Callithrix jacchus: one gene and its partners. The protein of the gene in region 2 binds, or shares a complex with, the protein of the main gene of each other region. Links are inferred from orthologs where the notes say so. Each region holds a gene or a part of one and is shown on either strand. Other genes may lie near its edges. The genes, in order: NTRK1, SHC1, GRB2 and ITGB3.

Region 1 (7,359 bases), about 1.9 Mb from region 2:
GACCTCCTACCCAGCCCATTTTGTTGCTCTCCTGTCTCCATAAGAAGGGGAGACTCCCCTGCCTCTGGAAGCCCCCAGTCTGAGGGGCATCACAGGATCCCTCAGGCAGGCACCAAGTGCTGGATTCCTGAGCTGGTTCAGTCTGGAGGGGAATGGTGGGACTGAGGAAGGGGATACCCCTTAATCCTTCCCTTTTTGAAGCTTCCACCCTCAGCTCTTTTTCATCTTTCCATCAGGCCCCCCAGTACCTCCATGACGGTCATTTAGTCTGTATAGTTCCCCCCACCCCTCCACCCCCGTACTCTCCATCTCTCTCTCTTTTTTTTTTGAGGTAGAGTCTTGCTCTGTTGCCCAGGCTGGAGTGCAGTGGTGTGATTTCAAGCAATTCTCTGCCTCAGCCTCCTGAGTAGCTGGGAGTACAGGTGCCTGCCACCACACCCGGCTATTTTTTCTTTTTTTTTGTATTTTTAGTAGAGATGGGGTTTCACTATCTTGGCTAGGCTGTCTTGAATTCCTGACCACGTGATCCACCTGCCTCGGCCTCCCAAAGTGCTGGGATTACAGGCATGAGCCACCCTACCTGGCCTCACCGCCATACTCTCTAAAACCTAATCATGGGCAGTATCTAGCCTGGGGGACAGGCCCTGTGAAAAGCAGTTGAGGAAAAGCAGTTTCCCCCAGAACCAGCCTTCCACCCCGTAGTGATTGGACCCTAAGGAGGGGGGACACACAGGACCACAGGACAGGGCCCTGGAGGCCGGCTCAGGACGCAGTCTAGCGTCACCCTTAGTCCCCTGAGCGCAGTCTTCTGTCTGCAGCATTTGCCTCCATTACTTCATGGTGCCTGGTCCTCAGCTCCCTGTCCCACCCTGCTTCTTCCCATTCTGTGGCCCCAGAGATGACTTCTAACACTCACAGCCTCATTTTGGTTTTCAGGCAAGCTTTACTGGGATTGCAGTTTCACTAGTAGGGATGGAAGATATCTATTCGTCCCCGTTTTGAAGCCCTTTTCCCCTCTGAGGGAGCTGAGGGAAAAACACCTTTATGCGGGGAACTCACTGCTTCTCCTGCTGGGCGGTTCTCCTGAGAGCTAACCGCAGCCTCCATGGTCCAGTGCAGAGTAAGTGGATGTTCCGTGGCTGCAAGCCCAGATGTCTGGCTTCCCAGTTGGCTGGGAGAGAGGTAGGGGTCTGGGAGCCAGTTCTGGGGACTCACCCTCTAGTGCATCCAGGCCAAGTCCCAAGGAGAGGACGATCGCAGGCAGGCATGCTCCCCAGGGCCACAGACCAGGTACTGCCATTGTCCCAGTCCTGGCTTGTGTCCAGTCCCAGCTCTTCTGGTGGCTCTGGGGAGAAGAGTTTGACAAGCCCTAAGGGACACAGAGACCAGGGTTCAGATAGGAGACGGAGGGGGCAGGGGCAGAGGCAAGGAATCCCACACAGCAGGAGACAGAAAACAAGAAATGAGAGTCACAGAGACACAAAGATAGTGACAGGCAAGTGGAGACAGAGATGGGGACAGAGATGCAGACAGTGACGGGTGGAGTCTCGGGCCTCCAGAGGCAGAAAATGACACAGGGTTCTGAGCAAAAGGCAAGCCAAGAGGCCGGCCAACCCTGAGGGCGGAGCAGAAGGCTGGGGACGCTCCCAAGAAGGGCAGCATGAGACTCCACAGGGAGAGTCTCCCTGGATCCTTCTGGGCCCGCGGCCCCCCAGCGCTGGCTGACCGCGCTGGCTGCGGTCTCTCCCAGGGCGGGCACGCAGGGGCCGCGCCCAGCCCGCGCCCAACTCCTGCCCTCCCTGCCCCCCGCCGAAACAGATTGGTTCACAGGGATCTCTCAGTTCTCTCCGCCCCTCCCCCGCCAAGCCAAAATATTTAGCCTGACAACTGAGGGGAGAAGAGATCTGTTGGGGAAATAAGGCCAAAATACAGGGGAGGGTGGGTCAAGAACTGAGCGTCCCCAAACTCCGCTGTGGCTGCGACGGGTCCCCCCAACCCCTTAGCCACACCGCAGGCTTCTTCCAAGTGGGCTGCACGGCCGGAGGGGCAGCCAGCGCCCGGGCTTCTGGGGAGCGCTGTGTCTAGATTCTGCTCCCCGGTGCCTTGACATCTGCGGGGTAACTTCTGGCAGCCTCGACCCGGGAGAACCTGGACAGCCCATGGCCTCTCGGAGCCTCTCTCAGCCTCCGAGGAGGCCGCCTTGTCCTCTTTGGAGACCCCTTAGTGCCAGGCTCCCTCACTGACTAGTACCTTGATTCTGACCAAGATCCCGATCAAGAGGGCGATCACTGTGTGGGGCTCTGCCTCCCTCTAGTCACTTTCTTGAGCTCAGGCTTCTCGGTCAGTCTGTGTGTCCCTGTCTCGGGAACTTGGGGGGCCGTCCGTGCTGGGGTCTTGGCAGAGAGGAGAACCGTGACCCTCTAGGAGGCTGTCCTTCGCTTGCTCCCTGGGGCCTTACCTGTCCCCCCGCCAAGAGAGACCCCTCTCCCCCTCTCTCTCCACAGCTTGAGACGGATGGGCTCCGGCAGCCACAGAGGCTGGCGCGGTGGGAGGGGTTAGGACCAGCCTTCTGCTGCCCTGGGTGCTGGAGATCCCGGGACTTTCCAGGTGCGCGGCCTCCAGGGGCGGACGGGTCCTCAGTTCCACACGGGGGCGGCTCCCGCGTCGGAGGAGCTAAGAGAAGATCTATTAATTTCTTCACGAATAAATCGATGCTCTTGTCAGGGAGGCGATCCATGTCGGCCCTGTCCTGCCCCGGGGCCAGCGCTGACTGGCCGGGGTCAGGGACTGAAGCTGGGACCCGAAACGTTGCGCATTGGGGGCTGCAGATCGCGCCCCCAGCCACCGGCCCGGGCGGGGAGCTTGTACCTTTGCGCGCGGGCTTCTCGCGCCACCCTGTGGCCTCTCTTGGAGGCGCGGTCTTGGCTCACTCGACTCCCTTCGGCCGAATTAGGCGACCCCTTCCCTTTCTCTGGCCGGTCAGTGTCTTCCTCCCAGCTTCTGCAATTGATCCTTTTATAATCCTTTTCCTTTTCTTCCCAGAGTTCGGAGTGTTCTACCTAACTTACTCCAGGTGACATGCGCACTTCCCCAGGCACTCGCTCCGTGAGGATGGAGCGCCGAGGCTGGGGCTGGCTAGGTTGACCTGGACGGCAACCTTCACTAACTCAGTCATCTCCCCGCCTCCCCAAATGTAAAAATGCAGCTGCTTTAAGCTGGGAGAAATAACGTATCAATTTCCCACTCCCAGCCTCAGCAGACACCTCCCAGCCGTTCTGCAGCAGCCCCTCCGCATCTCCCGGAGCTGGGGGCATCCTCGGGGAGAAGGTTGACCCTGGGGGCCCCTAACAGCGGAGGGGACGGAGTTGGGGGCGTCAGAGGGGAGGAAAGGGGGTGGAGACAAGGGGCGGGGCGGGGACGGGCGGGGGCCTCTGGCTCCGCCCTTTCCTGGCGGCTGGGTCTTTAACACCGCCCGGCGCACATGTCGGGGGAGGCCCGGCAGCTGCAGCTGCGAGCGCACAGACGGCTGCCCCGCCAGAGCTAGGCGGGCACCGCCGCGATGCTGCGAGGCGGACGGCGTGGGCAGCTCGGCTGGCACAGCTGGGCTGCGGGGCCAGGCAGCCTGCTGGCTTGGCTGATGCTGGCATCTGCAGGCGCCGCACCCTGCCCCGATGCCTGCTGCCCCCACGGTCCCTCGGGACTGCGATGCACCCGGGATGGGGCCCTGGATAGCCTCCACCACCTGCCCGGCGCAGAGAACCTGACTGAGCTGTGAGTGTTCGGCGGGCGAGGGGGCTCGGGGACAGGCAGGCATTGCCGTGCCCCGAGGGCGCTAACTCGCCACTTGTTTGCTGGGTCAGGCAAGGCCATCACAGTGGAGGGCTGGCACCACGCAGTCTTCGGCGGTGCCCGGGCGTTCCTCCGCAGCCGCCGCTGCCCTAGCAAGCTTTATGGTGACAGCCTGGATGTTTCCTAGTGTTCAGGGCAGCTGGGCAGCCGGCTTCAGGGAGATCGAGTGGGGAATCTCCGTGGACCAGGTCTGAAAGAGCCCAGTCGTCTAGAAGCCACACTTTCTGGAGCTCAGCCAGGAGCCCCTGCCCTGTCCCACTAGAGAAGCGTGGTGCGGAGAAGTCCCCAGTTTGACACCCTTACTGCCAGCCCCCACCCATTTCCTTGTTATGATGAGGCAACCCCAGCTTTTCTCCTGGAATTGGGGATTGAGCTGACATTGGTGGGAGGTGGTGAGGAGCGTAGCTGGGTGGTTGAGCTCTCCTTTTTGCATTTTTACCATTCCTTGTCCCAGGACCCCTTGATTTGGATCTGGGAAATGGGACCCCCTCCTGGATTTTCTCTCCCCACTCCCATCTCCCTCTCCGACCGGGACTCTCTACCTGGGGTAGGGAGTCAGGGTCCTTGCTGAGAGACCCTCCTCCCTCTGGGGCACAAAACTGGGAGGAAGCTTCAGCATTCTGCAGGATTCTGACATTCTGCAGGAATTGGTTACAAAATACTCAAGTACTTTTTAGCAGCGGGTGAAACCTATGGTAGCATGCGGTAATGATTGGCCTGGAGGTACTCAGGCATTACATGGTGATGGCTGGAAAATATTTGAGTATTACATACGACCATCGTGGCCAGTGAGACGTCTAGAAGAGGGGAGGAACTGCTAGAAAATTCTCCTCCTGTGGCCTGGGGTTTAAAAGGTGGACAAGGAACCCTAGCCTAGTGCAGTGAGGGACTGGAAGGTATCCGAGGTGGAGCCCATCACTGTCTGGAAGGTACCCGAGGTGGAGCCCATCACTGTCTGGAAGTTTCTTGAGCACCTCGAAATAATTGGCACTGAGTTACTCGGGTTATCTCATGGTAATTAACGGGAAGGTACTCAATTTCCCGAATGGCTCTAGGGAGACCAGGAGTAGAGGAGATGGCTTAGTCTTGGTCTGGCTTAGGTCTCTGCATGATGGGAGGGGGCATGAGATACGGCCTGCCAGTCCTAGTGCAGTTCTCATCACCCTGGGCCTTCAGACTGGGGTCCAGACTCCTGAGTGCTCCCCATCAGGGCTCACATTTCCCAACTCCTTCTAAACCCCAAGTGGGTCTGGCAGGGTAGGGATGGGAGTGGTAGGGGGAGTGGACAGGTCAGGGCTGGGGACTAAGTGGCGGGCAGTCTGCAGGCATGAGCTGAGATGTCCCCCTGGGTGGGGCTGCAGCCTGACACCCCCTCCCCACTGCCTCCACAGACCCCTCCCTCCTCCCTCACCCGCAGAGCTAACGAGCAGATAATGGACTCGAATAGACAGATTGATTATGAATCCAAACGAATGAGGCAGCTTTGGGGCAGCTTTGAGCAACCTGGCCTGACAGCTCGCACACACCCTGCCAGCCCACCGCATTCTCACCCCCTCCCTGGGTCCCTCCAGCTTGAAACCCTCTGGGCAGGGGCTGGGGGTGGGTAGAATAGAGAGATATGCCCTCCCTCAGAGTCAGTGGAGGTTACTTTCTAGGCCTCCACTGAGTCCATGGGGAGACTTAGGACCTGACCCTGCTGTCCTGCTGGGGCCAAGGCTGGGAAGGGAGGAAAGGAGGAAGGGAGTTTCACTCAGGCTGGTCCTGGTTCCTACAAGTTAGGGAAAGTTAGAGGGTAGAGGGAGAGAGTTCTCAGAACTGGCAGTGAGTCAGGGGCCCCTGGCGTGTATTGTTGGGGTGGGGGGGCACACTAACATGCCACTGCAGGGCAGCCGAGTTCTGAGGAGCTCCCTGGTACGTCAGATCCAGCAGCCAGGCAGGGCCCGGGGCGTCAGCTGTCCCCCAGCTCCGAATGCCTGCTCTTCCTCTTTCTTTCTTGTCTCCCTGTCTTGCTTTCGGTGCCTCTCTGTCCTTATCTCTCTGTCTCTCTGTCTCCCTTCTCTCATCTGTCTTCTTTCTTGCCTGGCGCTATCTCTCTGACAGTCTCTTCCTGTCAGTTTCCCTTTCAGTGTCTCTGTTTCACTCTCTCTCTGTTTTTCTGCCCTTCTGCCCCCACGCTCCTCATTAAGCCTCGCCATCTTTCTCTCTCTCTTTTGCTGTGGGAGTCAGCCAGTCTGTGTCGTTCCCCCCACCCCAACACTGACTGCATCCTCTCATCCAGGAAGAGGACTGTCCCTCTCCTCTTCCTGGGTCCCTTCTCGGGGTCTCTGACGGATAGCCTCTAAGCCTCTTGCTTGATCTGCTGAAAAGATGGTGGGGGAGGTTTGGGTGGAGTAGGGGGTGCTCAGGTGTGGAGATGGGTCAGAGGCTATGGGGGTGCAGAGATGCTAGTGTGTGTGTGTGTGTGTGTGTGTGTGTATAGCAGTACAGGTGAGTCTGGGCATGTTTGGGAACACACATTTGCATGAGCACAGGCTTCGTCTGTGCTGGGTGGGGCAGTGGCAGGACGCGCCTCAGCCCTTTGTGGAAGCAAGTGTTTCAGCATGACCTCCCATTGGTGAGTGTGTGCCAGGGACGTCTGATGTAAAAGCAGAACACCGACCTGAGAATGGGCTTGTGTGTGTGCACGTGGGAGATGTATGCCAGCTTTGTTTCTGTGTGTCCCTGTGTGAGCGTGTTCATGCAGCACACGTTCATGTGTGCATGTGCATGAGTGTCATCTGTGCAGATGCTTACGCCTCTGTATGTGCGCATGTGCACACCTGGCTGGGTGTGTGTGTGCAAGAGGTATGTGAGAGTGCATATGTGTGAGGGTGTGGGGAATCCATGCATGTGTGTGCGCATGTGTGTTCATGGACACATGTGCACGTGTGACTTGAGGAGGTGCATCTCTATGCACATGTATGCATTTGTGTGTGCATGCCCGTGTAAGTGTGTATGCAGGTCTGAACAGGTGCACATGTGTGTGCCTGTGAGGTGCATGTGTATTGTGAGGGAGGCAGGCGGGTGGGCATGAGAACTCAAGTATGGGCCTGAGCCCTGTGACTCTTATTCCTTCTCCCCACAGCTACATTGAGAACCAGCAGCATCTGCAGCATCTGGAGCTCCGTGACCTGAGGGGCCTGGGGGAGCTGAGAAACCTGTGAGGGAAATGGGGGCTGTGGGTGTGGAGCTCAGCATGGGCCCAGGAAGGGGTACCAGAAAGTCGGGGATGGCTCAAGGATCCGAGGGCCTGGGAGGACTTGAGGGGCTGAGGACTGAGGGACTGGGAGAGGTCAGGAAGCTCAGGGCTTTGAGGGGTCTCGGGTAGTTGAGGAAACAATGAGGGGCCTGGGGAGGGGGAGGAGCTCAGCATGGGGGACTGGAGGGCTGGGGTAGCAGGGAGAGCCAGGGACCCAGAAGAGCTGAGACCTGGGGACTGATCCTCCCGCACCCCTCCCCAGCACCATCGTG
Region 2 (7,459 bases):
TCAAGTGATTCTCCTCCCTCAGCTTCCCGAGTAGCTAGGATTACAGGCACCCGACACCATGCTCGGCTAATTTTTGTATTTTTAGTAGAGACGGGCTTTCACCATGTTGGCCAAGCTAGTCTCGAACTCCTGATCCACCCGCCTTGGCCTCCTTAAGTGCTGGGATTACAGGCGTGAGCCACCGCGCCTGTTTTCCCCTTTCTTAACTTCCTCTAAGGGTAGAGCTATTTGAAGGGGCTGAACTTGGGGTTTGGCATGAGAGGGAGAGAGACTTGCTCTCAAGACTCCCAGCCTCACTTCCTGGCTTTCCCTTCCTAGGACCAACTCCACCCCAGAAATAGCTCTAGGCTTTACCTATACATCAGTGGATAGGACCATGGATTTGTTGGTGTGTGGCATGTGGGTGTGACAGGAGTGAAAGTTTTCTACTACCAGAAAAACGGTGGTTTGGAGTGGCAGTAGATAATATACTCTTTTTGTTTGATTTTTTTTTTAAGGGACAGTTCAGTCGCTACTTCTCTGTCTCTTCCCCTCCCCCTAATCAGAGATCTTTTCTGGGCATTCCTCCTGGTCCCGTGTGCCCAGCCTTCTCTGCTGGAAACATTCCTGAGGCTTTCGCCATTTCCTGCTACTTCCCGCTCCTCTCCCCTCCTCCCAGTTGGGCTGAGAAGCCACACACAGCTTTTCCCCTACACCCAATCACCTGGACTTCCAGTAGGCAATCTTCTTTCTCCCTATGCAAATTTAAAGAGTTATACTTCTTTCTTTTCTTCTAAACGCCCACACCCATCGGTCATTTTCTGGCTCTGGATACTGCAAGCTCCCACAGAATATCATCTCCACAGATGAGGACATCCTAGTGTGTGTTTGTGTGTTTTGGGGGTGTGAGGCTATGGTGGAATCCTTTCCTCATTCTCTCTATGCCTGAGAGATGGCTGGAAATGAAGTGATAAAATTCCTTCTCAGGATTAGCTGACAGAGTGACAAAGCTCTCCTGGAATGAGCACTAAGTGGAGATGTAAGAGTTAAGTGACCGGGCACGGTGGTACATGCCTGTAAACCCAGCACTTTGGGAGGCTGACAAGGGCAGATCACGAGGTCAGGAGCTCGAGACCATTCTGGCTAATGCGGTGAAACCCCATCCCTACTAAAAATACAAAAAATTAGCCTGGCGTGGTGGCATGGGCCTGTAGTCCCAGCTACTCAGGAGGCTGAGGCAGGAGAATTGATTGAGCCCGGGAGTTGGAGGTTGCAGTAAGCCAAGATCATGCCACTGCACTCCAGCCTGGGGGACAGATCGAAAAGCAAAACCCTGTCTCAAAAAAAAAAAAAAAAAAAAAAAAAAAAAGTTAAGCACAGTATCTAACACACTTTAAGTGTTAATGTTGTTAATCAGGATAATCATATTATATATATAAATCCACAAGTAAATCTAAGGGTAATTCCAAGGTGAGCTTGAGATGATATGTATCTTTTTTTTTGTTTGTTTTGGAGGTGGAGTTTCACTCTTGTCACCCAGGCTGGAGTGCAGTGGCTTGATCTCGGCTCACTGCAACTTCCACCTCCTGGGTTCAAGCAATTCTCCTGCCTCAGCCTCCAGAGCTGGGATTACAGGTACCTGCCACCATTTCCAGGTAATTTTTTGTATTTTTAGTAGAGACAGGGTTTCACCATGTTAACCAGGCTGGTCTCGAACTCCTGACTTCAGGTGATCCACCTGCCTCAGCCTCCCAAAGTGCTGGGATTACAGGCGTGAGCCACTGCACCTGGTGGGAATATGTATCTTTAACTTGTTTTTTTGGTCACTTTCCAGCTTTCCTATGGCATTCTCCAGAAGAGCAGTGGCAGGAAGCCGTGGGTGGCGGGAATGGGATTGGGACTGTTCCCTGTGCCAGCTTCAGCCCGTCTTCTCCTGACATCCCTTTGTCCTGTACTTATTTTTTCTCCTGTCCTTATTGACATGGATGCGTCTTCTGATCTCTCTGTCCTTTCCTGGCGTGTAGCTTCTATGTCTCTTGGAGAACTGTTTCTTCTTTCAGCCAGGCTCCTTCCCAGGTGTGAGGGACACTGTACTCTTTGGTGGGGCTTAGGGCCCTGTAAGAGCAGGGATATGAAGTGGGGTGGTTTGGAGTGGGTGTGGGGACCTGAGGCCTCATTCTCACCCTTGACAATGTACTGTGTTAAGCCTGTGGAAAGGGGAGACTGGATAGTGCTTGGCTGTGAGCCATAGCTCTTTGGTGTGGTAGATGCCGCGCATAGAGAACAAGCTGTGACCAGCATGTCCTCTTGTTCACTTCTTGCCTGGTAGCTTCCTGATGTACCATCCAGGTTGGACTTTATTCCCTGATTTTCACCAGCTTTGCTCTTCCTCTTGACCCTGCTCTGCATCCATTGGGACCACTTCCTTCCCATCCCCACTTCGCTAGCTCCAGTCCACAGCTGTTGTAGCAGAGGATGCTAATGGCCCAGGCTCACTGTATGTGGTAGTGGTGCGGGGTGGCCTGGGCTCGAGAATGGGGGAATTCTAGTGTTCAACCAGGACAGGAAGGGAAATGCTGAGCTCTGAGATCTCCTCCCTTTTCCACCCCCAGTTGCCTCCGTTTCCTCCCTCATTCCTCTCTACTCTCGCCTGGCTTCCTGGCCCCTTTGGTCTGCCTGTGTCCGGTTTCCAGTGACCCGCACCTCCTCTTATCTCCCTCCTTTCCGTCTTATTTCTCCATCCTCTCCTCCCACCCCCCACTTTACTCCTCCCCAGATTACTAGTTGTTTGTATAGGGCTGGGGAGAGTTCGAGGTTGGGGCAGGGTGGGGCTCAGCCCCTCTGAGCCTGTGAGTCAGCACTGTCCTCCGGATTGGTCTCTCTCCTTAGCTCCCCGCCCCCAGGGAGGAGCCAGGCAGCTCTGGGTCCAGCCTGTTCTCTTCTCAGCCAGAGAAGAGGCTCCACGTTGGGCGGGGATGGGGCCTGAAACTGTCTGGGTCTGAGCTGGGGAGCGGAACCCACTTGTCCCTCTCCCTCCCCAGGACTTCTGTGACTCCTGGGCCACAGAGGTCCGACCAGGCTAAGGGCCTGGGGATACCCTCTGCCTGGCCCCCTTGCCCAAACTGGCAGGGGGGCCAGGCCGGGCAGCAGCCCCTTTCTCACCTCAGCTATGGATCTCCTGCCCCCTAAGCCCAAGTACAATCCACTCCGGAATGAGTCTCTGTCATCGCTGGAGGAGGGGGCTTCAGGGTCCACCCCCCCGGAGGAGCTGCCTTCCCCATCAGCCTCATCCCTGGGACCCATCCTGCCTCCTCTGCCTGGGGACGATAGTCCCACTACCCTGTGCTCCTTCTTCCCGCGGATGAGCAACCTGAGGCTCGCCAATCCGGCTGGGGGGCGCCCCGGGCCTAAGGGGGAGCCAGGAAGGGCAGCCGATGATGGGGAGGGGATCGTAGGGGCAGCCATGCCAGACTCAGGCCCCCTACCCCTCCTCCAGGACATGAACAAGCTGAGTGGAGGCGGCGGGCGCAGGACTCGGGTGGAAGGGGGCCAGCTGGGGGGCGAGGAGTGGACCCGCCACGGGAGCTTTGTCAATAAGCCCACACGGGGCTGGCTGCATCCCAACGACAAAGTCATGGGACCCGGGGTTTGCTACTTGGTTCGGGTGAGTGAACATTCTCTCTTCCACTCCCTCCCAGCCCCCGCCCCCCCCCCCCCCCCAGTTCTGCTCACTCCAGCTTGGCTGGAATCTCTTTTCTCCTGCTGTTCTACAACCCCGTTTCAGTGTCCTATTTCCTAAACCTTTCCCATCCCTTCCCTGATTCTGTAGTCCCTTCCCTTCCAGCTCTGCCTGAGCCCCCTTCCTTCTTTTGACTCCCCCACCCCCACCTCTACCCTGCCATGCTTAGCACAATGCCCAGCATGGCAGAAGCTCTTAGTAAGTGTTGGAATGAGTGACTTATTGATCCTCCCCTCCATTCTCCTCCTGCTTTCTGGAGTTGTCACTCCATCCCAGCCAATGCCTGTCGGTCCCCTCCAAACTCTCTCCCCAGTGCGAGGTCCTTCTTTCTAGCCTGCCTTTCTTTCTCTCCTCATTCCCTGTTGTCTTTCACCTTGATTGTGGGATGTAGCCACGGGAAGTGGGCAGAACCTCTCCATCTCTACTTCCCTTAAGGACCATGTGGGCAAAGTCCTAGGGCCCTTTGTGAAGGGGCTGGGGTGGGGGAGCTGCTGACCTGCTGTCCTCCCCTCCTTCCGCTTAGTACATGGGCTGTGTGGAGGTCCTGCAGTCAATGCGTGCCCTGGACTTCAACACCCGGACTCAGGTCACCAGGTTAGTGGGGAGGGAGTGGATTGGGGGAGTCCCGGGGTTAGTGAGGCCACAGGAAAGGGAGGAGGGGAGTGGTCACTTGAGTGCTGCTGGTGGGGGCTGATCTTTGGGTAGTGGAGGGGATTGAGAGAAAGCTGGTGGTAATTCTGTATCTTACTGAAAGGAGGCCCCTCTGGCCTGGATCCTCCTTACCTATCCATCCTTGGGAGTTGTGGGGAAGGTGGCAGAAGCAGCTGGCAGGTAGAGCTGGAGTAGAAAATGGGGGTAGATGGAAGGTTGCTGCTGCCTTTGGGAAGGGAATGGGACATTTGGTAGCTGGAAGTGGGTGGGTCTGTACCCATTGAGGCCCTAACCCAATCAGCCAGGAAGCGGCCTCTCAGTGTCATCAAATATTAAAGGCCCTTAATTCAATCCACCACGACAAAGAGCCTGGAGTGCCCTGGGAGTCTGGCCTGGCTTTCCCCTCCCCCAGCCCTGTGGCAGCCCCAGCTGAGTGGGAAGCAGGCAGGCACTGGGTCTGAGTACCCCTCTTTCCCCAGGGAGGCCATCAGTCTGGTGTGTGAGGCTGTGCCGGGTGCTAAGGGGGCGACAAGGAGGAGAAAGGTATCTGGGGTCCTTGGGGATAGGGATGCAGCTGGGAGATGTGAGGGGCAGGGGGAAGGCAAGTGTGGGGCATGTGGGGGAAGGCCAGAAGGCAAGAGTGTGGTTTGCCGGAGCTGGGAACCCTCACCTTCTGAGACCCTGGGCCCTACCTTAGCCCTGTAGCCGCCCGCTCAGCTCTATCCTGGGAAGGAGTAACCTGAAATTTGCTGGGATGCCAATCACTCTCACCATCTCCACCAGCAGCCTCAACCTCATGGCCGCAGACTGCAAGCAGGTTGGTGGAGTTGGGCAGGGGGACTAGAAACACTGGTGGGGGTGCTAAGGGGAGATCTAGTTAGGAGGCCAAAAACTAGGAAGAGGGCTTGAGAGCAAGAGACCAGTAGGGACGGAGGAAGTGAGGATATGGGATAAGGAACCCAGAGAATGAAACTGGGTGTGAGGGTTCTGGGCCCTGAGGCGCCTGACGCATGGCATTCCCTTCCTTCTTCATCCCCTGCCCTGATTCTCAGATCATCGCCAACCACCACATGCAATCTATCTCATTTGCATCCGGCGGGGATCCGGTGAGTTGGGGAACAGAGCAAAGGTGGCGGGAGAAGAGCAAGGGGCTAGGGATTGGGAAGACATTTATTAGAGAAGTGGGGGTGCTAGGATTGTGGGGATATCTGAAAAGGACGGGGTTTTAGGGGTTAGGAGTAAAGTGGAGCTGTAACATTTTCTGACCTTCCTCCCCAGGACACAGCCGAGTATGTCGCCTATGTTGCCAAAGACCCTGTGAATCAGAGAGGTGAGGCATGGTGGGGAGCACTGGGTGGGTCCGGCTGTTTGAGGAGATGAGCGGGACCTGGGGTCTGCACCCGCTTTTGCTAAGTAGAGCTAAGTAGGGGTTCCTGCTGAGGAAGATGAGGGCCCTGTCTATGCCTCCTCCCAGTGGGCTCAGCTCAATGACCGCCTCTGCTGTGCCCTCAGCCTGCCACATTCTGGAGTGTCCTGAAGGGCTTGCCCAGGATGTCATCAGCACCATTGGTCAGGCCTTCGAGTTGCGCTTCAAACAATACCTCAGGAACCCACCCAAACTGGTCACCCCCCATGACAGGTGAGCAGGTGGGGAGGATGTGCAGCAGCTCTTAAGCCCCAGAACAGGATTGGGAAAGGAGGGCTGCTCTTCCTACACTTGAGCTGAGAGGCTTAGGGAGGGAATAACCTGCGTGCCTCTGCTTCCCCCTTCCTGTGATTCTTCCATTTCCTGTGGCCCACAAGGAAAGACTCTTGAGGCCCTGCTTGCTGCAGGGCCAGCTTTTCCTCCTGTTGCTCATGGTGGAGCTGCAGTCTGAGGCATCCAAGTTACATCTCTCTCTCTGGCTAGATGAGATTTTTCTACTCCCATCCCTCTTGCTTGCCCATTTCTCTGACACTCTGTATTTTAATGCTTCCAGAAGCCATCAAGAATTTGGGTTTGTGAGGATATCTCTTTTCCCTGAGATTAGTGTTTCCCACCTCTGGCCGTGAGGGATAAGCAGTGGCGCCAGGAGGGACTGATTAGGAGAGGTTAAACTATTCTGTAGTGCCTTCTCCCCACCTCACTACATAATGCTTCCCTTCCTTGCTGGCAGATAGCACAGTGATCAAGGGCAAGAGCATTACTTTTTTATTTTGAGACAGAATCTTGCTGTGTTGCCCAAGCTGGAGTTCAGTGGTGTAATCACACAACTCACTGCAGCCTCCATATCCTGGGCTGAGTGATTCTCCCACCTCAGCCTCCTGAGTAGCTGGGACTACAGGTGCATGCCACCACACCTGGCTAAGTATTATTATTTTTTTGGTAGAGGCAGTCTCACTACGTTGCCCTGTCTGGTCTTGAACTCCTAGGCTCAAACAACCTCCCTCCTTGGCCTCCCAAAGTGTTGGGATTACAGGTATGAGCCATTGCACCTGCCCAAGGGCATAAGCTTTAAAGTCAAACCTGAATTTAAATCTGAGTCTGTCACCTTTTAGTTGTGAGACCTTGGGCAAATCTTTTCACCACTGATCCTCATTTGCCTCATCTGTAAAACTAGGAAAGAAAACAATACCTATCTTATGGGGTTGCCAGGAGAATGAAATGATTAGGTATATAACACACTCAGCCTCAGGCCTAACCCATAGTAAATACCGAATACATGGCTGCTGTTCCGTTCCCTCCTCCTGCCCACCACACATTTACGGCCACACCTTCACTGTCCTGTCTCTCAGGATGGCTGGCTTTGATGGCTCAGCTTGGGATGAGGAGGAGGAAGAGCCACCTGACCATCAGTACTATAATGACTTCCCGGGGAAGGAACCCCCTCTTGGGGGGGTAGTAGACATGAGGCTTCGGGAAGGAGCCACTCCGCCCACTGCCCAGACCCCCAGCCACTTGGGAGCTACACTGGTAAGTTGTTTGGATGGAGGCCTAGGGTGGGAGTGGCTGGTTAGGGCCTCTGGTTCCACCTTATTTTCATCCTTGCAGCCTATAGGACAGCCTGTTGGAGGAGATCCAGAAGTCCGCAAACAGATGCCACTTCCACC
Region 3 (7,452 bases), on a different chromosome or scaffold from region 2:
CTCATATTCTGTATGGTAAATGCGCACACTGCCTGTCAATAAATTTTTATGCATTTTCTCCTGTTAATCTATTGCCAGTTTATTTCAGCAGACTCAAACTGTCTGAGGGGAAGGGAAAAATTCCCTTCACCTCTACAATCATCTCCTCACCTGCCCTTCCCTGTTCTTTGTGCCCGCCCCCTTCAGTCAGCTACACCTCTTGACTGGCAAATTTCTGTGTTCTCCCAGGCCCACTCAAAACAAAAAACTGCAACTCTTCCCTCACGTCTTCCTCTCTGCTTAGCAGCCAAGTCCTTCCCTTTCATTTCTATTCTTTTTCTGCCTGCTATTTTAGAACGAAGTGGCATAGTGGGGGGAAAATGTGGATTTTGGAACAAGACAGGCCTTAGTCCAAATCTTAGGTCTACTATATTTTGGTTTCCTTATGTAAATTACTAACCTCTCTAAGGTTTAGTTTCCAAGTCTGTAAAATGGAGATATTATCCACCCTGTGGAGGCGCTATGACTTAAGTATGCATCAAGTGGTAAATAGAGGGTCCTTTTGTTATTTTTCACCTCACATCAGATATCTCCTGTTCAGAAACCTTCAGAGGTTGCCCATCACTTGACTATGACACCTAAGCCATGCATTTTGCATTTTGGCCTTCTCTCTAATTACTCTTGCCCCCAATTTCTAGGCTCTGACTAATCAAAAACATTGGCTGATGGCTGAGAGTGGTGGCTCACACCTGTAATCTCAGCACTTTGGAAGGCTGATCACCTGAGGTCAGGAGTTTGAGACCAGCTTGGTCAACATGGCAAAACCTCACCTGTACTAAAAATACAAAAATTAGCCAAGTATGGTGGCAGGCACCTGTAATCTCAGCTACTTGGGAGGCTGAGGTGGGAGAATCTCTCTTTTTTTTTTAGAGACAGTCTCGCTATGTTGCCTAGGCTGGAGTGCAGTGGCTATTCACAGGTGCCATCCCACTACTGATCAGCATGGGAGTTTTGACCTGCTCCGTTTCCCACCTGGGCTGGTTCACCCCTCCTTAGGCAAACTCCCGCTCCCGGGAGATCACCATATTGATGCCGAACTTAGTGCGGACACTCGACTCGCATAGTGCACTACAGCCCAGAACTCCTGGGCTCAAGAGGGGAGAATCTCTTGAGTCCAGCAGTCGGAGGTTGCAGTGAGCCGAGATCATGCCACTGCATCTCTAGCCTGGGCAACAGTGCAAGACTCTGTCCCCCCCCCAAAAAAGAAATTGGCAGATTTTTTTCCCTCTTTTCTCTCTGCTGTCACTTTGCCATTCAAACCAAGTCCTTCTTGATTAGCTCAGCACTAAGTACTGGATCCCTCCTCAGCCATCCCTATGTGTAGTTCAGTGGCACTTGGGGTCAACTGCTTGTCTTACAGACTAGGAAACTAGATTACAAAGCACTGAAAGCAGAGGCTTTATCTGGTTGGTCATTTATCCTGCAAAGCCCCTTGCATACAGGTGATGCTCAATAAAAACTTGGTGAAAGAACATTTCAACATTTCATTTTCTGTGTTTCTTTCTTTCTTTTTTGAGACGGAGTTTCGCTCTTGTTACCCAGGCTGGAGTGTAATGGCACGATCTCGGCTCAAGGCAACCTCTGTCTCCTGGGTTCAGGCAATTCTCCTGCCTCAGCCTCCTGAGTAGCTGGGATTACAGGCATGCACCACCATGCCCAGCTAATTTTTTGTATTTTTAGTAGAGACAGGGTTTCACCATGTTGACCAGGATGGTCTCGATCTCTTGACCTCATGATCCACCCGCCTCGGCCTCCCAAAGTGCCGGGATTACAGGCTTGAGCCACCGTGCCCGGCTCATTTTCTGTGTTTCAATGGGCTTGTTTCCTCTGTACAATCAGATGCTTGGTTATTCTCATCTCAACGCTATTTTTTTGGCTTCCAGAAGACACATTAACACTAGGTGTGTTCTGTTCTATCCTTTAATTGGAAAGAGCTTTGATAACTGAAAAACAAGAATTATTTACCGAAGCCTCATCTTCTGCCACTCCCCCATACTCACCGGCCTCATACAGGAATTGAACTACTTAGCACTGCACAGCACACGACTTTCACGCCTCCGTTCCGCTGTACTTAGCCTCTGTACTTACGTGCCATTCCCTTTCCCTGAAATGCCCTTACTCTGGCTTCTCTGCCTGGCAAACTCCTACTCATCCCCCAAGACTCAGCTTAGACATCGCCGCATCACCTCTGTAAAGGCTCTTTTGCAATGGGCAGAGTAGCCATTCTTCTTCCATCTTTTTAGCTTTCTCAGCAAACTCCAAATAACAGTACTTATGGCATTATTTGTTTATTTTTCTCTGCTTCCCTAGACCGTAAATTCCTTAAGGACCAGGATTTCTGTTCTATATCCAGCACAGTGTTCAGCCTATATTAGGCACATAATTAAATAAATGAGTAAACAAACCCACCAATCATTCAACATTGCAGAGTTTGTACGGATTCTCAAATATTTCAAGACCTGGTCTTCTGTTTGGAGTGCTTCAGGCTGGAAACTCTCTTCCTCCCCCCAGCCCCCATCCATATCCAATTGCCTTGGTTTGGTAGAGGAGAAAAGAAAGTGATTAGACGGGGTAAGAATTTATTCCTTCAGGACTAAGCTGTTATTTACCCGCTCTGGTACCGAGAGGGTTACGGCGACCCAGGGGCGGAGCCGTGACGAGGCCACCTGCTGCGGGCGGTCTGGCGCATGCGCCCTGGGGCCTAGCTAGTCACTACCTGCCGGAGCCCGGCCCAGGAGGAGCGCTTGCGCTTTGGGCGTTTTCCGCCGGGGGAAGTCTCGCGGGGGCGGGGCGGGGCGGGGCCTCGTGGAGAAGTTCTCGCGGGACACCCACGGCGAGCGGAAGCGAGGCGGCTCTGCTGCTTCGGCGACCGGGCGGCGGCGGCGGCGGCGGCGGCGGCTGTGGCTGAGGCTGTGTCTGTGTCTGTTTCTGTGTCTGTGACCGTGACGGCGGCGGGAGCAAGCGCCGCCCTCGCGGAGCAGCCTCGGGGTCGGCGGCCGCTCTCAGCGTTGAGGTGGGTCAGGCCCGACGCGGAGCGGACTAGCTGCGCCACGGTGAGTGCGGGCGGCTGCGCTCGGCGCCGCTCCTGTGTCTCTTCCTCTCCGCTCTGCGACGGGAGTGGGCCCTGGGGGAACCGGGACCCCGGCCCTTGGGGTCGGGTCGGGGCGGCGAAGCTCGGGACGCGGAGTGGAATGCCCAAGGCTCTGGACTCTGCGTTTCCCCTTTTGGGGCGCTTCCTTCCTGGGGAACGTCCTCCTCCGGCTCTCGGCTGTCTGTGCAGTGTCCGGGAGCCCGGGGGTAGAAGTCGGGGCTCCCTCGTGAAGTCCCCTGCCTTCGTCGGAAGGGTTTGCACGAAAGGGGCCTGGGAAGCCCGGAAGGGCAAAACCCCGACTGAGTCAGTCCGCCCGATCCCGGCGGCGGGGGACTTGGTGTGGGCTGCAGCTGTGGTGATTGATGCGCCTCCGACCTGCATGACAACCACGTCACCATCTCTTGGCGTCTTTGGGCTTAATTTTGTGCGGGAATCCACGGTGGGGTAGAACGTTCATCTCCCCGGGGGAGATGTCTTTATTCTGAGACTTAAAAAAAAATTATTTGAAAAATTAAGCAGCAGCAGGTTGGACTGCACCGAGGAAACATTGCGGCGAGAGCGGGCGCTGGTAATTTTCATTTGCAGCGCGCCCTCTCTGTGATTGTAAACCACATATGAGTTATGGCTTGTTTGGAAAGTTTTTCAAGCCTGGCTTCAAAGGCTATGAAAGTGCAGTTTGCAGAGGACTGAAGTGCATTTGAGGTGTGTCTCTTCTTGATGCTGTTGACTTTCAGAAATGTCAGACACATGAGAGAAATCAGCATTAGTCCCTGGCTTTCTTAACCCCTCTTTCACTCAGTACTTCTCCAGTTATTTCCTTACCTCTCTATCTACTTCTGTCCATTCCACTAGGGACAAGAAGTGCTTGTGTAATGCAAGTCATTTGCCCCTTCCTTCCCCCACCCCCCTCTTTTTTTTTTCTAATCTACTTCCCCTTCCTCCTTGGTAGTCCCCACTCTGGCGTAATTTTTCGAGGTTTCTTCCCTTTCGCACTGTTAGTTTTCTCTGATTTCAAGATTCCGTCCTTTTTCTCGGGAAGAGATCCTCTTTCCTGCTTTGGTGCCTTTACTTTTGCGCTTTCCCCTGCGTTCGCTAGTCAGCCAGAAGGGTTGCTAGAGAGCCATTGGAGGCTGAGGTTCCCCCGCTGAGAAGGGGGTGGGGGGCTCAAAAGATTGAATTCAGCCGGGTGCGGTGGCTCCCGCCTGTAATCCCAGCACTTTGTCAAGAGATCCAGACCATCCTGGCCAACATGGTGAAATCCCGCCTGTACTAAAAATAAAAAAATTACCTGGGTGTGGTGGCGCGCGCCTGTAGTCCCAGCTACTCGAGGCTGAGGCAGAAAAATCGCTTCAACCCGGGAGACGGAGATTGCAGTGAGCTCAGATCGCACCACTGCACTTCAGCCTGGCGACAGAGCGAGACTCCGTCTCAAAAAAAAGATTGAATTAATCCCTAAGAATTCAGTCCTGCCACTAGGTTACAAGTGTGGTTTGTTTGTTGTTTTGTGTTTTAGTTTTTTAAGATTATGCTTTTGTACCTATTTATGCTTTCTTCCAGTATGTCTTTATAATAGTAAGGAATATTGGGTCAGCTCAGGGCTTATGTGACTTTTTGACTTTTAGTGGGGGGTGTTAATGTTAAAAAGTGAAGGTCAACTATAAGTCTATATTAGGTTAAAATAGTCTGAAAAATGTAAGAGGCTAGAACTGATTTAGACCATCGAATTAGTTGAAGCCTGCGCGTTGTAGTAGTACTAATTTATTCTTTGTTAGGCTTTTAGTTAAAAATCAGGGATCTTTTTTCTGCATCTATTATAACTGGCCTTCGTTGTTGTTTTTGACAAAGAAATCTCTATTTGCTCCTTCCCAAGTTCAAAATGTTCCCAATCTCAAGATTTAAAAGAGTTAATTCTTATGATCAGCTATCTCCTAGTATGTATGTATGTATGTATGTATTTATTTATTTATCTATCTGAGACGAGTCTCACTCTTGCACAGGCTGGAGTGAGTGGTGCTGAGGATCTCGGTTCACTGCAGCCTCCACCTCCTGGGTTCAAGCACTCTTGTGCCTCACCTTCCCAAGTAGCTAGGATTACAGGCTCTCACCACCACACCTGGCTAATTTTTGTATTTGGTGGAGACGGGGTTTCACCATGTTGGCCGCGCTGGTCTCGAACTCCTAACCTCAAGTGATCTGCCTGCCTCAGCCTCCCTAAGTACTGAAATTACAGGTGTGAGCTCCTGTGCGGAGCCTAAACTCAGACATTTAAATGTTTGAGGCACTTAACTTGTCAGCAAGTTATTCCGATTTGAGAGGTTTGCTGGGTTTTAAGTACTACCAGTTGCTGGTACTTAGAGATTCTTTTCAGTAATTCCTGTTATGTTGCATATTGTGCATTGGAGTTCTAATTGTTGCATAGAACAGAAGAGCAAAGGATTTTGGAGAAAGGAAGTAATACAGAATAGAGTCACCATGCTCTCCTGAGAGAAATTAATTCTTAACTGCTTAATTCAGAGGAAGTCTCCGCCATTACCAAGTGGCTTTTGAGAGTGTATTTTTGTGTGTGTGTCAAAGTTGCCTTTTTCCCAGTTGTGCCAAGTGAATATACGTTATTTTCATTTCATGCAAGGACGTTGTAGTGCATTATCTGGAATGCAAATTTTAAAATCTGGTTAAGGCATCCTTATGGTACAGCAGTGATTGAAAATTCAGTATGCATAAAAATCACTGGGGGATCTTTTTAAAATTAGGTTCTGGTAGAACTCCAGGATGTTTCCCTTAGTGAATCAGTCTCTGAATGGAGGGATTTTGATACAGATGGTCTAAGGATCAAAACTGTTGTTAACAAATGCAGCCATAAATAATAAGACTGCTGTGTAGCTTTAAATTATTAAACTTAAAATTACATTTTTTGTGTATACACAAAGTCAGTATTTAGAATAGCCTAATGGAATAAGTGACTATAGGCATGATTCGTTTTTTGAGATGGAGTTTCTCGCTCTTGTAGTCCAGGCTGGAGTGCACTGGTGTGATCTCAGCTCACTGCAACTGACTCCTGGGTTCAAGCCATTCTCCTGTCTCAGGCTCCTGAGTAACTGGGATTACAGGCACCTGTCACCATGGCTGGCTAATTTTTTGTATTTTTAGTGGAGATGGGGTTTTGCCATGTTGGGCAGGCTGGTCTCAAACTTCTGACCTCAGGTGATCTGCTTGTCTTGAAGTGCTGGGATTATAGGCATGAGCCATTGCGCCTCTCCGATTTGTTTTTACATGTGAAAATTTTTTAGCATTCTTAGTACTGTGACGGGGAGTGAATTAACTGGAAGTTTATACTTAATAGGATCATTAATTGCCTACCAGAGAATTTTTCTGAGTCTGTAGACTCAGACTAGACTTTAGATTTTTTAACTCGTGAAGGCAACAGCACTCAGTAAAAACTGTACTTACACATACAACTGTTTTGTTTTTCACTCTTAGTACAATTGTAAATTATAGGAGAGATTTATCACTTGATTATAAAATGGTCTTTGTCTTAGGCGATTTTGCTCAACTGTAGGCTAATGTGTTTGGAGCACATTTAGGGTAAGGTAGGGTAGGCTGAGCTATGGTGTTTGGTAGGTTAGGTGTATTAAAATGCATTTTCACTGGGCAAGGTGCCTCACGCCCATAATCCCAGCACTTTGGGAGGCCGAGGCGGGTGGATCACGATGTCAAGAGATCGAGACCATCCTGGTCAACATGGTGAAACCCCGTCTCTACTAAAAATACAAAAAATTAGCTGGGCATGGTGGCGGGTGCCTGTAATCCCAGCTACTCAGGAGGCTGAGGCAGGAGAATTGCTTGAACCCAGGAGGCGGAGGTTACAGTGAGCCGAGATCGTGCCATTGCACTCCTGCCTGGGTAATGGGTGAAACTCCATCTCAAAAAAAAAAAAAAAAAAATTAGCTGGGCTTGGTGGTGTGTACCTGTAATCCCAGCTACTTGAAAGGCAGCGGTTGCAGTGAGCTGAGATCTTGCCATTGAACTCCAATTTAGGCAACAAGAGCAAAACTTCGTCTTTAGGATCACCAGATCAAGAGATCAAGACCATCCTGATCAACATGGTGAAACCCCGTCTCTACTAAAAATACAAAAAATTAGCTGGGCATGGTGGCGCGTGCCTGTAATCCCAGTTACTCAGGAGGCTGAGGCAGGAGAATTGCCTGAACCCAGGAGGCGGAGGTTGTGGTGAGCCGATATCGCGCCATTGCACTCCAGCCTGGGTAACAAGAGCGAAACTCGTCTCAAAAAAAAAAAAAAAATACATTTTTGATTTAACGATA
Region 4 (6,875 bases), on a different chromosome or scaffold from region 2:
GCAGTGGTGTGAACTTGGCTCACTGTAGCTTCAACCTTTTGGGCTCACACAATCCTCCCATCTCAGCCTCCCTGGGACTACAGGCATACACAACGACACCTGGCTACTTTTTAATTTTTATTTTTTGTAGAGATGAAGTCTCACTATGTTGCCTAGGCTAGTCTTAAACTCCTAGGCGCCAGTGATCACTGCCACCCACCCCCCAGCCTCAACCCCCACAGTACTGGGATTACAGGTATGAGTCATTGTGCCCGGCCAACGTATCCTATGTTGTTGCCCTGGAATTCTAGGCTCTGCCTCCCCACTCATCTCCCAGCTCTAATCATTTCCTGGCTTGTAGTAGAATGTTGCAGCTGTGGTCTCAGACAATGGGGGAGATCATTCTTTTCTCTTCCCCAACTTAAGATCTTGCAGGTGCTCTCTTTGAAGGGCTGATCTATGATAGAGCAGTAAAGACAGCACTGCCAAACGTTTTGGCATTGGCCAAGTGGAGTTTAACCACATGGAATGAGCTCCTGAGCTGGGCTCTTAACACTCCCAGATGTGGTTGCCAAATAAAATACACTATGTCCCATATAATATTTAGTACACGCTTATAGTAAAAAATAATTATTTATCCGAAATTCAAATTTGTCTTGGCTTCCTGTTTTTTTTTGAGACAGAGTCTTGCTCTGTCACCCAGGCTGGATTACAGTGGTTCAATGTTGGCTCACTGCAATCTCTGCCTCCTGGGTTCAAGCAGTTCTCATGCCTCAGTCTTCTGAGTAGCTGGGATTACAGGTGCCCACCACCACACCTGGCTAATTTTTGTATTTTTTAGTAGAGACTGGGTTTTACCATGTTGGCCAGGCTGGTCTTGAACTTCTGACTTCAAGTGATCTGCCTACCTTGGCCTCTCAAAGTGCTGGGATTCCAGGTGTGAGCCACTGCACCTGGCCAAGCGTCCTGTATTTTTGTTTGCTGAATCTGCCAACCCTACCCAGACTTCTCTGACCTTAGGTCATTTGCCATTGGTCTACTGCTGTGGCTGGAAAGACCTTCCAGAGGTCACCTGATCTGGCCTTCTGCTTCTAGGAAGCCTGCCCCAAACTCCTCTCCAGATACATGGTTAACAAATTGTTTTCCCCTGAAGACCTTCTGGCACCCTACCTGTCCTGCCCATACTAATATGTAGAATTGAAGAGATTTTACTTTGAGAATTGAGGGTCAGCCCTATCCAAGTCTTCCAGAGAATCCATAATTGTTTTTCCCAGAAGAACTGGGGCCCTTCACTCCTGGGAACTTGGACACTGGAACCTCACAGTTTCTCTCCAGGCACTCATTTAATTATAGACATGTTGTAATTTGGCAGGTTGGGAGACAGCCAGCTTGGGTTGTGGTGGTGGTTGTTTTTGTGTTGTATGTGGTGAGCATTGGGTGTATGTTTAGAGAGGAAGGTGGAAGACAGTGTGGAAAGTGGGTGTGACTTCCTCTCCAGGCTCATCAGCACCCTCATATATAAACAGCTGGTTTCATAACACTTGAGGTTACTGGAGTAAGATCACCTATTAGATACCTGACATTTATGGGAAGTAGAGCTCTGCAGAGTATACTCAGTCTGACCCCCAGAGGGATGACATGCCTCTGTGGTAGTTGTTGACTGGGGTTGAACAGGAAGTCAGCTTTCAATAGGGTTATGATTTTAGATGACTAATATTTTGGGAAAGAACTCAAAATATTGTCTTGGCTGGCAGATCCTGGTCTCTAAGAATGCAAAAAATGTCATTAGGTTCATAGCCTTCAGGAATGTAAATATATGAACCAGGATAACAGAAACAAATACTTGCAGGGGCTAAGGAAGCAAATAAGTTAGTGAAAACAGCTGGGTATAAGAAGATCACTTACAATGGTAGCTGATATTTACTGAACACTTTTGCTGTGCCAGGCATTGTTCTGAGTTTTTAGGATATATTTAATTTAATTATTCCTCATAACACGTTTCTTTTGAAGTCAGTGCTATTACTATCTTCATTTTAAAGATGGAGAAACAGGAAACAGACATTCAGAAAGGTTAAGTAATTTTCCAAATATCATGTAGCAAAGTTAAGTCACAAGTCAGGATTCAAACCCAGGGAGTCTCACTCTAATGTCCGCAGGAGCACAGACACACCAAGTCACACTGCCTTCCTTTAGGAAAGAGACGAGAGAGTGGTAGGGATTCTGGTGAACTAGAAAACATGCATTCTAACTAAAAGGAGCAGCTCCTCTTCAGCTCTAGCTAGCTGCTGCCCTGCAGGAATATAGGTACCAATGTTTCTAGCTCTTTGGACTTACCTTCTTTCTTTCTTTCTTTTTCTTTTTCTTTTTTTTTCTCTCTACCTCCCCCTCTCTCTCTTTCTGTCTTCCTTCCCCCACTTCTTTCTTCCTTTTTTTGAGATAGGGTCTCCCTCTGTCATCGAGGCTGGAGAGCAGTGGCATGAACTCCCAGGCCTTGACCTCCTAGGCTCAAACGATTCTCCCACCTCAGCCTCCTGAGTAGCTGGAACTACAGGCATATGCCACCATGTGTGGCTAAGTAAAAAAAATTGTAGCAGCAGGGTCTCACTATGTTGCCCAGGCTGGTCTTGAACTTCTAGACTTAAATTATCCTCCTGCCTCAGCCTCCCAAATGCTGGCATTATAGGCGTGAGCCACTGTGCCTGGCCTGGATTTTCTTTTTAAAGAGAATAATATAAATTTTAGGGGGAGAATCTCCTGATTATTCAGTATTGCCAATAAAATCAATTTTTATTTTTTATTTTATTTCTTTTTTTGAGATGGAGTTTTAGTCTGTTACCCACGCTAGAGTGCAATGGCACGATCTTGGCTCACTGCAACCTCCACCTCCCAAGTCCAAGTGATTCTTGTGCCTCTGCCTCTCAAGTAGCTGGGATTACAGGTTTATGCCACCACACCCGGCTAATTTTTGTAGTTTTAGTAGAGACAGAGTTTTACCATGTTGGCCAGGTTGGTCTCGAACTCCTGACCTCAGGTGCTCTGCCCACTTTGGCCTCCCAAAGTGCTGGGATTACAGGTGTGAGATACTGCACCCAGCCAACTTTTTATTTTTTAATTTTTAAAAAATGTTTCTTTAGCTATAGAGGTACATGTGTGGGTTTGTTCTGTAGATAAGTTGTGAGTCATGGGGTCTGGTGTACATATTATTTCATCACCCAGGTAATAAGCATAGTACCTGATAGGTAGTTTTTTGATCCTCACCCTCCTCCCACCCTCTACCTTCGAGTAGGTCCCAGTGTCTGTTGTTCCCTTCTTTCTGTCTAATTTTTAAAAGAAACACTTGGGTGAACCCCCACACAAAGGTATGGCTGGGTTCTGTCTAGAGATTACCAGGTCTAGGCTTCTGATTTGAGCCACTCAGGACAGATTATTGCTGTCCTAAAGATTGTCCGTTTAAAAAATTAATTTTTGAAAACTGTCCTATTTCCATCAAGGACTTTAATTACTTTGTCAAGAACACTTTATTCACAGCCAGTTCAAGTGACTCCTGCTTCATTCACAATTACCCTGCTCTGTGCTTCTTCCTGACAGAGTGTCCCAAGGGCCCTGACATCCTAGTTGTCCTGCTCTCAGTGATGGGGGCCATTCTGCTCATCGGCCTTGCTGCTCTGCTCATCTGGAAGCTCCTCATCACTATCCACGACCGAAAAGAGTTTGCTAAATTTGAGGAAGAACGTGCCAGGGCAAAATGGGACACAGTAAGAGGCTGGGCTGGGCGTCTTCTAAAAAGTCATTGGTCTGAGACTCTTCAGTGGAAGGAGCAGATGCTTTGGGTGGTCAGGTTCAGCCAGTGCCATCTGTTATCCTCTGTTCTAGAAACTGGGAGAGATGGTTTCACTGTCCCCTTGTCCTTCGGCTTCCTAAAAACCTACCATACAGTCACTAGGAGCCACGTCAGGTAGTACTGACCAAACACAGACAGGACCCAGCTTTGCCCTGACCCTGAAGGAATGAGAAAGAAACATATTCTCCAACTGAGGAAGACAAGACAACCCTACACTGAGAACACATAATGTATTATATGCTAATGATGCCCAAAGCCTTAAACACAAATAGGAAAAAATATGATCACTAACATTTCCTGAGGATTCGGCATATGCCTGGAACTGTTCTGAATGCCATTTATGTATTAACTTATTTCATTCCTCTAACAACATTACGTGGTGGGCAATATTATTATTCCCATTTTGTAGGTAAAGAAACTGAGTGCAGAGAAGTTAAGAACTTTGCCTGATTCTGGGAGGGAATTAGGTTACTATAGGGATACTTTTTGGGTAGCCTCTTAGAGATAGAGGCAGGATGTCATTCCACCTCATTCTTTTCTTTTTCCTCAAATAAATTGTTACTTCAAGGCTGGGTGTGGTGGCTCACACCTGTAATTCCAGCACTTTTGGGGGCCAAGGTGGGCAACATGGCAAAACTCCATCTCTATGGATGGAGTTAGCCAGGCATGGTGGCGCACGCCTATAATCCCAGCTGTTTGGGAGGCTGAAGCAGGAGAATCACTTGAACCTGGTAGATGGAGGTTGCAGTGAGCCAAGATTGTACCGTGCTCTGGATGACAGAGAAGGACTCTGTCTCAAAAAAAAAAAAAAAAAAAAAAAAAAAGTTTGCTTCCAAATCAGACTCTACTCTTTTATTCTTATTTTATTTAATTAAACAAGCATTTACTGAGAACATTCTATATACTTAATCCTACTGTATTCCCTTTTGACTCTTTTTTCACATTTCAACTTTTTTCCTGGACCCTCCAAATGGCCATTTGACTCCCCTAATGTCCAGGGTTAGGATTAGGCTGCAAGTTTGTTCCCATTTGATGGTGACCCCAGAGTTTTGTACTCAAGGGTCCCGTGAAACTGAAATGTTTCTGTTAGAACAGTGTGGAACATCCTGTACCTGTGAGTCCCACAAAAATGTGTTTCATGAAGCTACCATTAAGGACTTCTAGACCTTATGGGATTTGTTACCTTTTTTTTTTTTTTGAGACGGTGTCTTGCTCTGTTGCCAGACTGAAGTGCAATGGCACGATCTCAGCTCACTGCAACCTCTGCCTCCCAGGTCCTGGTTCAAGAAATTCTCCTGCCTCAGCCTTCCAAGCAGCCAGGACCACAGGCCTGCACCACCATGCCCAGCTAATTTTTGTATTTTTAGTAGGGACCGGCTTTCACCATGTTGGTCAGGATGGTCTCAATCTCCTGACCTTGTGATCCACCTGCCTCTTTTGGAAAATATTTTGGGAAACCTAGCGAGGGTCTTACTTTTTCCTGGTCACATGACAGTTTTGTGGATAATGCTTCCCCCTCCCATCTCCTCCCCTCCCCTCCCCTCCCCTCCCCTCCCCTCTCCTCCCCTCCCCTCTCTTCCCCTCCCCTCTCCTCCCCTCCCCTCTCTTCCCCTCCCCTCTACTCCCCTCCCCTCTCCTCCCCTCCCCTCTCCTCTCCTCCCCTCTTCTTCCCTCCCCTCTCTTCCCCTCCTCTCCCTCCCTTCCTTTACTTTCTCTTCCCTCCTTCCTTCTTTTTTTGAGACAGGGTCTCACTCTGTCACTCAGGTTGGAATGCAGTGGTGCCATCACAGCTCACTGCAGCCTTGATATCCTGGGCTCACTTCCCTACCTCACTTCCCGAGTAGCCAGGACTATAGGCACACACCACCACAGCCAGCTAATTTTTGTATTTTTTTCCCATGTAGAGACAGGGTCTCACTCTGTTACCCAGGCTGGTCTCGAACTCCTGGGCCCAAGTGATCTTCCTACTTTGGCCACTCAAAGTGCTGGGATTACAGGCATAAGCCACCATGCCCAACCTTGGTTAGTGCTTGGCAGGATTAGATGAAAACAATTTAAAAATTATCTGAGCAAAAGCTGTCCTCTGTGTTCTGAACTCCACCTGCTACACTTCTGTCCCTGTCTACATCTCCCATCACTGTCAAAGGGAATGGAAAAAGGGAGAAGGGCAAAAGAGATGGGGACAAGGGTGAAACAGGAGAGGTTCTGCTCTGGAATGCTGTGGGATCACTGAAGAGTAATAGGCTGAATTTAGCTCCTTAGAAATAGTAGTGGCGAACAGGTGTGGTGGCTCACACCTGTAATCCCAGCACTTTGGGAAGCTGAGGCAGGTGGATCGCTTGAGCTCAGGAGTTTGAGACCAGCTTGGGCAACATGACAAAACCCTTCCGTACCCCATCTCTACAAAAAATGCAAAATTAGCCAGGCATGGTGGTGTGTGCCTGTAGTCCCAGCCACTTGGGAGGCTGAGGTGGGAGGATGTCTTGAGCTCGGGAGGTGGAGGTTGCAGTGAGCTGAGATTGTGCCACTGCATTCCAACCTGGGCAACAGAATGAGATCCTATCTAAAAAAATAAATAAATAAGAAATAAGAAACAGTGGCAGGATGGCATTCTACCTCATCTCCTCCTGTTATTTCCTATCAATTTTCGTGCCAAGAACTAAAGTGTGAGTAAAACGAACATTTTTCTGTTTCATTAATGGTGTATTCTAGAGAAGGTTGCCTTGGGAAAACTTATCAGATGAATTTGGGTTAGGGAAGGACTGAAGAATTCACCGTAAGACGCTTTTCTGTTTCCTCCACAGGCCAATAACCCACTGTATAAAGAGGCCACATCTACCTTCACCAATATCACCTACCGGGGCACTTAATGTTAAGCAGTCATCCTCAGATCATTATCAGCCTGTGCCAGGATTGCAGGAGTCTCTGCCATCATGTTTACAGAGGACAGTATTTGTGGGGAGGGATTTGGGGCTCAGAGTGTGGTGGGCTGGGAGAATGTCGGTATGTGGAAGTGTGGGTCTGTGTGTGTGTGTTGCATGTGGATATGTGTAAT

What was found.
Region 1: the proteins of SHC1 (region 2) and NTRK1 are in contact, whole or in part, in an NMR structure (PDB 1SHC), measured with the Homo sapiens proteins. The link is inferred for Callithrix jacchus from reciprocal best matches to the Homo sapiens genes SHC1 and NTRK1. Residues at the interface, in NP_892113.4 of Homo sapiens: Met176, Arg177, Ala178, Leu179, Ser259, Ile260, Ser261, Phe262, Ala263, Ser264, Gly265, Gly266, Lys279, Asn283, Arg285, Ile301, Ile304, Gly305, Phe308, Glu309, Phe312, Lys313, Gln314, Tyr315; in NP_002520.2 of Homo sapiens: His489, Ile490, Ile491, Glu492, Asn493, Pro494, Gln495, Tyr496, Phe497.
Region 3: the proteins of SHC1 (region 2) and GRB2 are in contact, whole or in part, in an NMR structure (PDB 1QG1), measured with the Homo sapiens proteins. The link is inferred for Callithrix jacchus from reciprocal best matches to the Homo sapiens genes SHC1 and GRB2. Residues at the interface, in NP_892113.4 of Homo sapiens: Asp423, Asp424, Pro425, Ser426, Tyr427, Val428, Asn429, Val430; in NP_002077.1 of Homo sapiens: Arg67, Glu71, Arg86, Ser88, Ser90, Asp94, Ser96, Gln106, His107, Phe108, Lys109, Leu120, Trp121.
Region 4: the proteins of SHC1 (region 2) and ITGB3 are in contact, whole or in part, in an NMR structure (PDB 2L1C), measured with the Homo sapiens proteins. The link is inferred for Callithrix jacchus from reciprocal best matches to the Homo sapiens genes SHC1 and ITGB3. Residues at the interface, in NP_892113.4 of Homo sapiens: Ser175, Met176, Arg177, Asn182, Arg184, Thr185, Gln186, Thr188, Arg189, Glu190, Ser193, Leu194, Arg208, Arg209, Lys210, Arg214, Pro215, Leu216, Ser217, Ile219, Met257, Gln258, Ser259, Ile260, Ser261, Phe262, Ala263, Ser264, Gly265, Pro268; in NP_000203.2 of Homo sapiens: Trp765, Asp766, Thr767, Ala768, Pro771, Leu772, Tyr773, Lys774, Glu775, Ala776, Thr777, Ser778, Thr779, Phe780, Thr781, Asn782, Ile783, Thr784, Tyr785, Arg786, Gly787, Thr788.

What each region holds. Positions count from the first base shown.
Region 1 is NC_133519.1:17,256,678-17,264,036, forward strand, and holds the start of NTRK1 (high affinity nerve growth factor receptor), read left to right. Parts: upstream 1-3,488; 5' UTR 3,489-3,559; coding exon 3,560-3,771; intron 3,772-6,973; coding exon 6,974-7,048; intron 7,049-7,349; coding exon 7,350-7,359. Other genes in the region: INSRR (insulin receptor-related protein), read right to left, coding at 1,216-1,300. UniProt on the Homo sapiens protein: Receptor tyrosine kinase involved in the development and the maturation of the central and peripheral nervous systems through regulation of proliferation, differentiation and survival of sympathetic and nervous neurons.
Region 2 is NC_133519.1:15,381,277-15,388,735, reverse strand, and holds the start of SHC1 (SHC-transforming protein 1), read left to right. Parts: upstream 1-2,927; 5' UTR 2,928-3,148; coding exon 3,149-3,643; intron 3,644-4,241; coding exon 4,242-4,312; intron 4,313-4,848; coding exon 4,849-4,912; intron 4,913-5,066; coding exon 5,067-5,186; intron 5,187-5,421; coding exon 5,422-5,475; intron 5,476-5,647; coding exon 5,648-5,699; intron 5,700-5,881; coding exon 5,882-6,008; intron 6,009-6,543; exon of another isoform or gene 6,544-7,144; coding exon 7,145-7,322; exon of another isoform or gene 7,323-7,400; coding exon 7,401-7,459. UniProt on the Homo sapiens protein: Signaling adapter that couples activated growth factor receptors to signaling pathways. Participates in a signaling cascade initiated by activated KIT and KITLG/SCF.
Region 3 is NC_133506.1:131,302,020-131,309,471, reverse strand, and holds the start of GRB2 (growth factor receptor-bound protein 2), read left to right. Parts: upstream 1-2,878; 5' UTR 2,879-3,092; intron 3,093-7,452. UniProt on the Homo sapiens protein: Non-enzymatic adapter protein that plays a pivotal role in precisely regulated signaling cascades from cell surface receptors to cellular responses, including signaling transduction and gene expression.
Region 4 is NC_133506.1:87,183,615-87,190,489, forward strand, and holds part of ITGB3 (integrin beta-3), read left to right. Parts: intron 1-3,567; coding exon 3,568-3,734; intron 3,735-6,624; coding exon 6,625-6,690; 3' UTR 6,691-6,875. UniProt on the Homo sapiens protein: Integrin alpha-V/beta-3 (ITGAV:ITGB3) is a receptor for cytotactin, fibronectin, laminin, matrix metalloproteinase-2, osteopontin, osteomodulin, prothrombin, thrombospondin, vitronectin and von Willebrand factor.